Callithrix jacchus: one gene and its partners. The protein of the gene in region 2 binds, or shares a complex with, the protein of the main gene of each other region. Links are inferred from orthologs where the notes say so. Each region holds a gene or a part of one and is shown on either strand. Other genes may lie near its edges.

Region 1 (4,069 bases), on a different chromosome or scaffold from region 2:
AGCTGGGATAACAGGCGTGCACAAATATATCGATTAATTTTTGTATTTTTAGTAGAGACAGGGTTTCACCATGTTGGCCAGGCTGGTCTCGAACTCCTGACTTCAGGTGATCCCCCCACCCTGACTTCCCGAAGTGTTGGGATTACAGGTGTAAGCCACCACACCCCACCAAGAAGTGGGCCTTAAGGGCACCAGGAGTGAGTCAGGAAACGCAGGTGAAGGGCACTGCAGGCACTGGGAGGAACATGTTTGTGCACAAACTGATTGTGAGTTGTGGAATGCAAACAGAAGGGTTCGCCTGCAGAGAAGGGAAGATTTAGAGATGGTGGGAGATGAGGCTTGAAAGGTAAATTAGAGGACAGGCATGGTGGCTCACCCCTGTAATCCCAGCACTTTGAGAGGCTGAAGCAGGCAGATCATGAGCTCAAGAGATGGAGACCATCCTGGCCAACATGGTGAAACCCAGTCTTTACTAAAAATACAAAAATTAGCTGGGTGTGGTGACATGTGCCTGTAGTCCCAGCTACTTGGGAGGCTGAGGCAGAAGAATCACTTGAACCCGGAAGACAGCGGTTGCAATGAGCCAAGATCACATCACTGCATTCTAGCCTGGGTGACAGAGTGAGATTCCATCTCAAAAAAAAAAGAAAAAGGTAAATTAGGTGCAAGATCATGTGAGCAATGAGGAGCTGTATAAGATGGGCGGTGTGGATGTGACCACATTTGTCTTCTAGAAAAATGACATGACATCAGAATAGAAGATGCATTACACCAGGGCGCAACTGAATACTGGCTCTGCAAACAGTTCTAGGTCTCCAGTTACTACCTTTAAGCTTATTTTCTGACCCACTTTAATCATATGTGTACAACATAAAAATATTGCACACACTGCCGGGCGCAGTGGCTCAAACTCATCTCTATGAAAAATACAAAAAACTAGCTAGGAGTGGTGGCACGTGCCTGTAGTCCTAGCTACTTGGGAGGCTGAGGCAGGAGAATAGCTTGAACCCAGGAGGTGGAGGTTGCAGGGAGCCAAGATCGTGCTATTACACTCCAGCCCTGGGTAATAACAAGATCGAAACCCTGTCTCAAACGAACAGACAAAAAAAATTGCACACACATACAAACAAGTTCTATAAAGATAAGAGTAACTGAAAAAAAAAATCCTTTAATGTTCTAATACCATTTTAGTCATAAAACCATCTTTAAAAAACACCCAGCATCAACCCACACAGACAAAAAATAGCATCAGTGTATTTCTCTAGAGGCTCAAGTTCCAAGGATATACCAGATAGTGATGCAGTTTTGAGAGAAAACTTTAAAATACTTTTAACCTTGGGAGGGCTAAGACACAAAACAAAAAAACCCAAACCTGCTCAAAAAAGCAATCAGAGGCCATTAGTCCTTACCTCCCACATGGGTTTAATTCCTTCCTTGAAGAGATGGAAGTCACTGTGGCCTGTCAGGTCTCCAGGACGTACCATGTGGCTATAAAACCTCCAGAACTGCTCCACCTGCAGAGACAAGACCCCAGAGTAAAAAAGGTGTTGGTGTCTTTTCTTTTTCTTTGAATGCATCCAGAGACTGAGATTAAGTTAAGAACATAAGCATGGAAGACACTATACTACAGGCTGTCCTTTTCAGAGGACTCATTCTCATTTGTGGCATTCTGAGGGAAGACATGTTAGAGGAAAAGCCTACCAACTAGTTTGACAAAAGAAAACATGTAACATTGGCAATACAAGAATAAAATCTTTGGTGAGAAATGCTAGGCTCAGCCAGGACCTTCAGCTGGTGAAACCATGTCAATATGCACTTTCCCACTGAAGCTGCGGGGTAGTCATCACGTGCAGTAAGAAGACAGCTTTTTGCACAATGGAAACTCTTTAGCCTTGAGGTATATTAAGTGCCACACAGCCTCAGCAGGAATGCATTTTTTAGAACCAAATCACTTACTGATCAAAGATTGTTTAACTGGCAACACAGCATTTGCTGAGTGAAATATCTCTTAGAGCTGTTAGTTACTAAGCATAAGTGACAGAATCAAGCACGTATACCACACATACCACTCCACATCACGCTAAGACCGGGCCAATCCAAAATCACACAGGACTTAGCTTCTTATAGCTAGAGTTTAAGGCCTTCTTCTTAGCTAGAAAAAGGTTTCTCCTTGCCTCTCCTTCACAATCCTGTGAGAAAGCTAGATTTATATTTTCCTATCAAGTATATGCTTATTTGTATTCATCACAGTAGTCCCGTTTTGCTTATTAGTGTCATCCCCCCCCACTCTTTTTTTTTTTAAGATACAGGGTCTATACAGCAGTATGATCATAGCTTATTACAGCCTCTAACTCCTGATCTCAAGTGATACTCCTATCTCAGCCTCCCGAGTAGCTGGGACTACAGGCTCATTAGTGTTTTGATAGGAGAAATAACTTCCTTATTCACAGAGGATACCTACTAAGTACTGGCCAGTGAAGAGGTACACTTTAAGAGGAAAGAGAAAACATGGTGCAGTCTGATGAGAAATAGCTAGTATTTGCCAACCTGCTGAGGAGCTCGATATCAACATATAGCAAGATACCATAATTGTGGAGCTGACAATGGGTATTGAGTAGACAAGATTCAGGTCATACTTCTAGATCTGAGGAGCACCCAAGGAGAAATCAACCTTACACTGTGTGAAATGGCTGTCCCTTTAGTTCCTCTCTAGCACAAGAATATGTGACACATCTTACATGTTAAATAGAAGTCAGAAACTATAGGACTTCAAAGCAGTGCTTCATATCTCAGCAACTGCTAAGCTTAACTGCATGTAGTGATTTGGGATAGCAACTGGTCATATGAATACAATCAGCAATAATCTAAACCATTATCCACCCTAACATAGTTGCAGAAAAACCACATCTCTCCACTAGAACCAAGTACACCCACTAGTGGCTCACTGTGAATAAGGAACTGAAAGGGGCGTGGAAAGGAGAAAGTATACCAACCATTTCCAATTCCCCAGTCAACAATCACTTCAACACTTTAGTCTCCTCCAATCTTACAACTATACCACTACCTCCAAGGCTCAAGCAATCCTCTGGCCTCAGCCTCCCGAGTAGCCGAGACAAGTGGACACCACCATGCCCAGCTAATTTTTTACTTTTTTTTGGTAGAGATGAAGTTTAACCTGTTGCCCAGCTGGTCTTGAAGTCCTGGATTCAAGTGATCCTCCCTCTTTGGCCTCCCAAGGTTCTGGGACTATGCCTGGCCTAAGAAGTATTATTAAACTTTAAAAGATTTATTTGGATAGTTCTAACTGAAACCAAAAAATAAGCATTCAGACTCAGAATATGAGGTGTAGAAAGGACCTCAGAAATAATCTCAACAACTTTACTTATTTTATAGTTGAGAAAACAGTTACAAGAGTTGCTGTAACCCAGACAGTCAAGCACCAGAAGAGGTTAGCTCTGATGACCAAGTCCAGTGCTCTTTCCATTTCAAGATGATACCTTCCTAATCATGCTGACTTTAGTAACTTTTAAATGTTGTTAATTATTAGGCTAAGAATCACTGGGAAACGCTGCTTTGAATTCAATAAAAGGATTCATCATGTAATTATTTCTTTGTGATGAATTTAACATCGTGAGCCATTTCCTAATGAGGTCTGAATTACATGACAGACTGTATTTCTATTTTTCAGATCCAGACCTACAGAGTCAAAATGACAGACTTTAAATACTGTCACACATCCAGTGAGCAGTGATGAAGCCTTAACCCAAGACAGTCCTGATGATAAACCACTCCTTAACATATATGTCAAAAGGAAAGAAAAGAAAAACCCTCCTTGTATAAGCCAGGTATTCATATATGCTTTTTCACAAAAGGGAAATAAAATTGCAACCCACCTTTTTTTTTTGAGACAAGATCTCACTACGTTGCCCAGGCTAGTTTTGAACTCCTGACTTCAAGCGATCCTCCTTGGCCTCACAAAGTGCTGGCATTATAGGCATGAGCCACCAGGCCTGACCAAAATCTTTAAAATCAGTAGTAAACCTGTATCTTCCAAGGCAGTATTCCTCAA
Region 2 (4,069 bases):
GTGAGCTGCTGCTGCTGTTGCTGCTGCTGCGGTGGCGTCAGGTCCCCCAGAGCTGCCTTTTCCCGGAGCGTGCACTGCGGGAGCTGGCGGCTGCCAACAGGACAGCGGGGGTGATGGGCCACAGAGCCTGTGCCTGGCCCTCCCCCAGCCCACCCCGGGCCCCCATACCTGCTGACCAGCTGGAGAAACTGCTGGTGCTGCAGCTGCTGGTATAAGGCCGCCGCGGCCAGCTCCTGCTGCTGCTTCTTCAGCCGCTCCTGGTCCATGTTGCCCTGCTCAGGCGACAGCTGAGCCAGTGCCTGAGGCACGGAGGAGGGGGCTCCGCTGGGCTCCTGTCCGCCCCCCCACCACACCCCATCCCTTCATGCAGCGGAGAAGTGGCTCACCAGCAGTGGGGGTGGCGAGGGCCCTGGGGCGAAGGGCACGCGGCCCCACATTTTGATCACCTCGCCCAGTGGCTGGAAGCCCTCATCACAGCCCCGCTTCACCAGCAGCGACATGGAGAAGTAGCCGGCCTGGAACCACTCTGCCATCTCCTGTGTTGTGAAGGGGCCTGGACAGAGATCGAGGGATCGGGAGAACCACTGGGGTTAAGGGGTACACCAGAGACACCCTGAACCAGAACGGCCCTGAGCAGTCCTCCTGCCCCACACAGGTACCTTGGATCTCGCCCTGCGGGTCCTTGTAGAACCACTTCCGGGCAGCTCCGTGGCTGAGCGGGAGGGCAGTGGCAGCTGCAGAGTGGCGCAGGCCCTGGGTCTGCATGGCAGCCGTGAACTGCTCCTCCTCCAAGGAGCTGTCCTGCAGGGAGGCCACCAGCTTCTCCGCCTCCTGGAAACCCAGGAAGAGAAGCAAGGTTCAGCTGCCAATCTCAGCAAGATCAGGATGGGGAAGAGAAGGAGCTAGAGCCAGGCAGTTTGGAAGGTCAGGAGCAGTGGGAAGGGTCCCTCCAGCTTTCTCAGCCCCACACCTGCTGCAGGTGCTTCAAGCCTTCATCATCCTCCAGATCTCCGGGTGGGCCAGTAGGGGAGCCCACCCCAGGACTCAGCTGGATTCCCCGAATATCATCTGGAAGGTGTGAAAACAGGAGGTGGAAGGGAAGGCAGGAGGAGACAAGACAGCCCCCACCCACCCTTACTCCAGAACACCATGCTCTTGCCATGGCTCCTTGACGTAAATGCCCTGTGTTCCTACCCCCATGGGAGGGGAGTGCCTTCTCGTGCAGCCCCAGGGTACCCGGGAGGTAAGCCATCCTCCCTTCCTACCATCGGCCGCTGTGGGGTCTTTCTCCACAGCTTCATCCCCATCCCCGTTTGTCCCCCAGAGTGGGCCCAAGGTGGGCAGTGGGGACGGGGAATTGGGCTTCTCCTCCTGAGGAGGCAGTGAGGTCAGCTCTTTCCCACCTAGAAGATGGAGATGACCAGAATTCAGAAACAAGGGCTGGGCCTGCCACACGAGTTAGCACAAGCCCTCGAGTGTGGCTCGAACAGAGTCACAGCCCCCTGGCCGAGTCTACTTCACTGGAGTCAACCAGTAGCGGAATGGGAATGCGGTGCCCTGACCCTCGCCTCTATGCTGCCAGATGTGGCAGAACACACCACAACGCCACACAACACCATACAGCACTGCAGACCTCACCCAAAGTTCTACAGCTTTTTCAAGAGTTGGGGTTTCACCATATTGGTCAGGCTGGTCTCGGAACTCCTGACCTCAGGTGATCCGCCCGCCTCAGCCTCCCAAGGTGCTGGGATTACAGGCGTGAACGTTCACGCCTGGCCTTCAAGGGACGTTCAAAGGTCATTTTGATTATGCCTGATTTTTATCTGGCACACTGCCTTGAAGGCAGGGCTCTGCTCTCCCCTGCTTCCTCTCCACCTCTCAGCACTCTTCTTCCGATTCGAAGCAGCCTGGCCTGGTCCTACAGGTAAGGTAGGTGGGCAGCCAGCGCCCAACCTAGCAAAGAACCCATATGCCCACCTAGCCCAGCCCAGCCCCAGGCCCGACGGCCGCCCTGAAGGCTCACCCGCCTCAGACCCTTCCTCTTCTAGGCCTTCGGAAGGCTGCTCCTCCTCCTCCTCCTCCAGTCCCTGGAAGTCTAGCTCCTGCTCCTCAGGAATGGGCTCCTTGGGGCCTTTCTGCATGGGGTAGGGAGGGGTCAGAGAACAGCTGGGTGGGCAGGGAGGAAGAGGACCCCAAAGGGCCGGTTCCCACCCTCGGCTCTTCACAGATACCTTGAGAGGCAAGAAGGCCCCAGAGGCATCAAAGGTGCCCATTTCTTCATCCTCATCATCCAGGCACCACTCTGGGAGCCCATCCTTGTCCTCCTCAAAGCCGTCGGTCGCTCGGCACCGCCGCAGGTGAGAGCTGCCTCCCCCTCCCCGCCCCTCCTCTTCACCACAACCTCCTCGATCCCCTCGCAAATCAAATTCAAACTTGCGCCTCCGTTCCCCATGTTCCCGCCAGCCAGCAGAGCGGGGACCACCATCTGCGCAGGAAAAGTTGGAGGAGAGTGGGTACCCGAGTGAAGCCGGCGGCCCCTCTCCTGCAGCTCACCAGGTGTCCCAGGAACTACCCGAACCTCCAGGACTGCTCTCCAGGCCACTCCACACCAGCCAGCCTTTGCTCCCTATCTCGCTCCCCACAGGAGTCCACCCTTTCATGACAGTTCCTGGCCCCCAAAGCCCCCACCAAAGCCACCGGGCCCCAAGCTTACCAGGGCTGGCGGAGCGCCAGCGGTCACCATCTCGCCGGGGCCCTGCCCCGAGTCTCCAGCTGCCCTCCTCCTCCTCCTCCTGCTCCTCCCGTAGGGAGCGCCAGTTCTCGCTGTCTGAGCGGGCATGCTCCTTCCTTGGGCCAGACCCTCCCTCCTCAAACCCACATCGTGCTGGAGAACGGGGAGAGAGAAGCAGTTATCAGAAAGACAGTGCAGTGCCTGGAAGACCCTTAGGAAACATGGGGGGCCAGCTCCAGGCCCTCCTGCCCCAGCACCTCCCGAAATAAACCCCTCCCGACTGGGCCACCCATCTTGGTCATCCCTCCTGCCCTGGCCGCTTCCCTCAGCAGCCTCATACCTCCATCCCTCCTTGCTGACTTCTCAAAGCGCCTCTCGCCTCTGCAGCAGGGAAAAGTGTGGGTCAAAAACAGTACAGCCTCCCCCCAACCCTGCACAACCACTGTGCGCCTTGTCCATTGTGCCCTGAGGCAGCAGAGGGAGGGAAGGAGGGAGAACATAGGAAATCAGGAGTCCTCAGGAGCAGAGGGATCTCTGACAGGGCTTATCTGGTGGCCTCTGTTAACCCTCCATGGCCTGCCCTGCTCTGCACCGAACCCCCTCCTGGCCCCACCTGTCATCCCAGCTCTGGCTGCGCTGGATCTCCCGGGGGCTTCGTCCAAAGGTCCCATCACCTTCTTCGATGCTTCTTTGGTAAAAACAGCTGTCACCGCGGCCACGGCCTAGAGAAAGAGTGAGACACACGTTGAAACCTGCTGCACACCCTCGAAGCCGGGGGCCCGGATCTCCCCGCCCCCAGGACACACCATCACCCCTTTACCTCGGCTCCGAGTACTGCCCCTGCCTCGGGAGGTGCCAGCCAGGGGGGGCCCAGCCCCTTTCCCCATCAGCCTCAGCACAGCCACGCTGTTCACTGACAGGGAGAAGTTTCTCTGAGGAGGGAGCCGAGGCGGGAATGAGGACCCAGACACCCCACCACCCCCTCTCCCACCCCACAGCACCCTCCGGGCCTGTCTCCCCAGCGCTGGCCCCTCTACTAGCCCCACCCATGACCTCCCCTCCTGGCCCGCATGGCCTCAGCTCCTGGCCCGGCCCCACCTGCTCCTCCTCAGTCAGCGGCTCCAGGGCCAGGGGCTGCAGCGGCTCATCCTGCAGCACCGCAGCAAACTCCTTGTCCTGCAGCTCTTCAGGGACCTGGCAGTGGGATGGGATGGCCAAGACACCACATGCTGCTGGGTCCCCTCCACAGGCCACGGCCGTCACAGCCAACCCCCTTCACCCGTGCCCCCACCTTGTTCTCCTTGACATAGAGGGCCAGCATCTCCTCTCGCCCGTAGC
Region 3 (4,069 bases), on a different chromosome or scaffold from region 2:
ATTTCCTGTGGCAGGGTTACCTGGGGACAATCCCCACACGGAATTGCTTATTCCTTCAGCACTGCCCCCACTGACTTGAGAAACTGATGATCCATTAGCACCAGGAAGGCCTTGCAGGTGGGGTGGGATGATGGCCCCCATACCAACAGCCATGCCCCAGTTTGGCAGTCCATTTGTCTGCATTGCATTGATAGGGTTGGGTGAAGAGTTCATGGGGTTAGTGTTATTTGGTCCATCAGTGTTAAGGTTCTGAGGTTGTACGCTGAAAGACACATTCTGAGAAGTGGACGTTTGTGGTTCTGTGCTCTCTTGCGGCAGCAAATTTCCCCAAGCACCTAAAGTGCCTGTCGGGTTCCCGTTCTGGTTGCCCATATTTTGACCTATGGCACTGACTGGACTGCAAATACTGGAAGGGCTGCCTGTTGCCACGGTTCCTTCATGTCCAAGTACAGGCCAGGCAGCTGGGTTGGCATTAGGATTAAGGTTAAGATTAATGCCAGCATTGGAGTTGGAAGCACCCCAGCAATTCTGACTTCTCCCATCTCCAATCATGGTGTCCATTTTTCCATCCCCACCACTGATAGAGCAGTGAGCCAGGCCAGAGCTGGAGCCTGTGGCTACACCCCACACTCTGGCTGCACTTCCATTACTGTTCGCTCCTCCTGCTCCAAGGGCACTCTGATTAGAAGGGCTTTGGACGAGTGCGCCATTGGTGCCATTATTGCCATTTGTCTTCTTGGTATGTCCAGTGAAGTTGCCCTGGGCACTCCCTGTAGCCATGCTACTGTTCTCTGAGCCACAGTTGGAGGCAGAGTCAGTGTCTGTAGTACATTCTGAGGCAGATTCAGTCTCTGTTCCTGTGATGGAAGGCCACGCCTCCTTGTCAGTCCTATCTATTATCACTTTATCCCAGCTGCAGTTGGCTTCACTTCTGTAAGTAGGCTGCTGTCCCCAGTGGGAATTTTCATAATGATCTGCCAATCCACTATGACTGAGATCTGAAAAAGATGAAACAAAATTCAAAATTAGATTTTCTACCCATTTGTCAATGAATCAACTGTTAACTAGTCTTTGGGGAAGCTCTTTATTTCAAGTCTTCAAATCTGAATGACAAACACTAAAAAAACGACTTAAAGAAAAAAGCTAAATAGCTTCTTCCATTTTAAAAAAGCGTTAATGTTTCTAAAATTGTATCAATTCCGACCACTACACCATACTATTATTCCCCTTGGAGAATACTCACAATGCACATTAGCACATAAGGATCTCTGAAAGCATCTGTAGGAAAGGCAGCTCTGAAAGACACGTGACTTTGAAACTCCTGTAAACAGAGACTGCGACACACTGGCAATGACAGTAAGTTCATATGGAGTTTTGAACAGAACTTGTAGTTCTCTTTAAGACCTCTAATTACAGTATTATATAGAGGAAGAACATGGCTTTCAGCAGAAACAAACTGTAAATTGCCTTGCAGAAATCATAACAGAACCAATATTTGGGGTGGGGGAAGAGGTGACGGAAGGAAAGGGAGACAAGACATATGAGACAATGCTCTCTTATGTTTATCAAGAATACTAAGGATTAGAAATGTTTAATTAGATTTATGCTACTTTATCTGATCTTATCTACAATTTAGTTTATTGTTGTCTCCTGTGCATTAATTAAAAAAATCTGCAACTCAAGGACATGGCTAAAAAAAAAGAAAAAAGAAGAAAGAAAAAGAATCTCAGCCCTATAGGTGGTATCTTTTGGGTCTCCAAGGATTCCATCTATCCTTGTTTTCTATTTCTTTAGAGCCTTTTCTTTGGAGATTCCTAGAATAACTTTATATGCTATCTTCTTATAGTATTTATATAACTCTTTGGGTCCTTTTAAAGAATCCACTGTTTGGGATCTGCATATTATTTCCTATGACTTTAATAATTATTTGAGTACTTCCAACATTGCAATTAAACTTATATTCCAATCAACTTTTCGGCAGACTTTTAAAGTATCTATCAATCAGAAATAAAGTAAAAGAAATGTTAAAAAAATTTAACCCAAACAAACAACTCACATATATAATTTAGAAATCTCAGGTGAGTTTCTTTAAATACTACAATATACAATTAAATTGCAATAAAACATTTTCTTATCTTTTAGAATCTTTTAAATTAGGTTCTCTTCAAATTTATTTTAACAAGAAAAATATTATGGACAGTTAGAACATGAATTTGCCAAATAAATTCTCTTTTAAAGTTTGATAGAGCTAAAGGAAAAAGAGTATACATGTAAAAAATTATCATTATCATTAGAAAGACCATACTAAAGCTAATATCGACATAAGAGAGATTTTTATTGCCTGATTTAAGAGCAATGTAATGATTATGGAATGATGGTCTAGGTGATTCCAAGGTAGGTACAAAATTCCAGGTGAAAACTACAAAGGAAAATGAAGACAGGCAACAGCATTTTTTTTTTTTTTTTTGAGACAGAGTCTTGCTCTGTTGCCTGGGCTGGGGTGCAGTGGCCTAATCTCTGCTCACTACAACCTCTACCTCCTGGGTTCAAGAGATTCTCCTGCCTCAGCCTCCAGAGTAGCTGAGATTACAGGTGTATGCCACCACACCTGGTTAATTTTTTGTATTTTTAGTAGAGACAGGGTTTCACCATGTTAGGCAGGCTGGTCTGGAACTCCTGAGCTCAGGTGATCTGCCTGCACCGGCCTCCCAGCTGGGATTACAGGCGTGAGCTACTGTGCCCAGGCAACAGAAAACTTTAAGTATTGAAACTGTTAGAAAACCACTAAGTTCTTCTCACTGCCAAATATTAGGGGTTGGCTCTATAACCCTGGTTTATGACAATCTGGTTTCAAACATACTCTAAAAACTAATACAATAACTAACTAAAGAGATAAATGAGCCATTCCTCATTTAACATAGAAAATAAGACGAAGTTAACATACTAAGATTATGGCTTGTTGCCAGCAAATATTGCCACATTTCATTTTACCATCTGTTTGGTTGTGCCATAAAGCGGACTGCCTCCAGACTAGGACAGCACTCACTGCAACCCAGAAAGCAGGAGGTTAACAACCTGCCTGACCAATGTATTCTTTTCCATAAGTGAGGTGCCATTTGAATACACAGTACTGTTGGTTCCATTCCACAATAGTCACATTGTGAAAGAATCTGCCCTTTGTTCACGGTCTGCTTTGAGGACTTGAGGGTTGCTCAGCCCCCAGTTTGACAGGTTCACACTCAGTTATAATGACAGGTTTGAGAGAAGCAGAGCATTACAAGCTGGTGGCTAATAAATGCTGTGGGACAACAGTCTAGCCACATGAAATGAAAGTAGATCCCTTATATAATATACAAAAACACATTCTAGATAAAGATCTAATTAGGAAAAGCGAAACTTCTTAAAGCTTATGAAGGAAATATAGAAGACCATCTCTATGATCTTGGACACTGTATCTTCTTATAGAAGACATGAAATACATAAGACATAAACAGGTGATAAATTCAACTATGCTAACATTAAAAACATCTATATAACAAAAGATATCACATAATGGAAACTAAAAAACCAAGCCACAGGCCACAGGCAGGGAGAAGATACACAGACCACAGGCAGGGAACAGATAATGTATGGTTATCAGATTAAAGAATTCCTGGCTGGGCACTGTGGCTCTCACCTTACTGTAATCCCAGCACTTTGGGAGGCCGAGGGGTGGCTTTCTGGAGGTCAGGAGTTCGAGACCAGCCTGGCTGACATGGTGAAACCCCGTCTCAACTAAAAATACAAAAATTAACTGGGTGTGGTGGTGCATGCCTGTAACCCCAGCTACTCAGGAGGCTGAGGCAGGAGAATCACTTGAATCTGGGAGCTAGAGGTTGCAGTGAGCTGAGATCGCTCCACTGCACTCCAGCCTGGGTGACAGAGACTCCATCTCAAATGAAAAAAAAAAAATCCTAAAAATCAGTAAGAAAAAGGCCAACAACCCAACCAGAAATGGGAAAATGATAGGAATAGGCAATTTAGAAAAGAGAAAACTCATATAGCCATTAACATACATGAAACAATAGTC

Evidence for each region. The genes of interacting proteins can lie anywhere in the genome.
Region 1: the proteins of GIGYF1 (region 2) and EIF4E2 are in contact, whole or in part, in a crystal structure (PDB 5NVK), measured with the Homo sapiens proteins. The link is inferred for Callithrix jacchus from reciprocal best matches to the Homo sapiens genes GIGYF1 and EIF4E2. Residues at the interface, in NP_001362694.1 of Homo sapiens: Leu36, Ala37, Asp38, Tyr39, Arg40, Tyr41, Gly42, Arg43, Met46, Leu47, Leu49, Tyr50, Glu53, Asn54, Lys55, Val56, Pro57, Glu59, Leu60, Glu64, Phe65, Ala67, Val68, Leu69, Gln70, Asp71, Glu72, Pro73, Leu74, Gln75; in NP_004837.1 of Homo sapiens: His54, Pro55, Leu56, Gln57, Tyr64, Lys83, Gln84, Ile85, Gly86, Val91, Glu92, Trp95, Arg96, Phe97, Tyr98, Ser99, His100, Met101, Val102, Arg103, Leu107, Phe113, Ile137, Arg138, Leu139, Arg140, Gly142, Leu143, Ser145, Arg146.
Region 3: the proteins of GIGYF1 (region 2) and TNRC6C are in contact, whole or in part, in a crystal structure (PDB 7RUQ), measured with the Homo sapiens proteins. The link is inferred for Callithrix jacchus from reciprocal best matches to the Homo sapiens genes GIGYF1 and TNRC6C. Residues at the interface, in NP_001362694.1 of Homo sapiens: Tyr479, Asp481, Pro482, Gln487, Phe490, Trp498, Tyr503, Phe504, Leu508; in NP_001136112.2 of Homo sapiens: Arg1719, Pro1720, Pro1721, Pro1722, Gly1723, Leu1724, Thr1725.

What each region holds. Positions count from the first base shown.
Region 1 is NC_133507.1:153,938,409-153,942,477, reverse strand, and holds part of EIF4E2 (eukaryotic translation initiation factor 4E type 2), read right to left. Parts: intron 1,515-4,069; coding exon 1,410-1,514; intron 1-1,409. UniProt on the Homo sapiens protein: Recognizes and binds the 7-methylguanosine-containing mRNA cap during an early step in the initiation. Acts as a repressor of translation initiation.
Region 2 is NC_133503.1:13,041,433-13,045,501, reverse strand, and holds part of GIGYF1 (GRB10-interacting GYF protein 1), read right to left. Parts: coding exon 4,023-4,069; intron 3,926-4,022; coding exon 3,830-3,925; intron 3,664-3,829; coding exon 3,552-3,663; intron 3,454-3,551; coding exon 3,345-3,453; intron 3,113-3,344; coding exon 3,072-3,112; intron 2,885-3,071; coding exon 2,714-2,884; intron 2,486-2,713; coding exon 2,232-2,485; intron 2,136-2,231; coding exon 2,024-2,135; intron 1,404-2,023; coding exon 1,266-1,403; intron 1,069-1,265; coding exon 971-1,068; intron 832-970; coding exon 660-831; intron 554-659; coding exon 387-553; intron 300-386; coding exon 169-299; intron 91-168; coding exon 1-90. UniProt on the Homo sapiens protein: May act cooperatively with GRB10 to regulate tyrosine kinase receptor signaling. May increase IGF1 receptor phosphorylation under IGF1 stimulation as well as phosphorylation of IRS1 and SHC1.
Region 3 is NC_133506.1:133,834,841-133,838,909, reverse strand, and holds part of TNRC6C (trinucleotide repeat-containing gene 6C protein), read right to left. Parts: intron 999-4,069; coding exon 1-998. UniProt on the Homo sapiens protein: Plays a role in RNA-mediated gene silencing by micro-RNAs (miRNAs). Required for miRNA-dependent translational repression of complementary mRNAs by argonaute family proteins.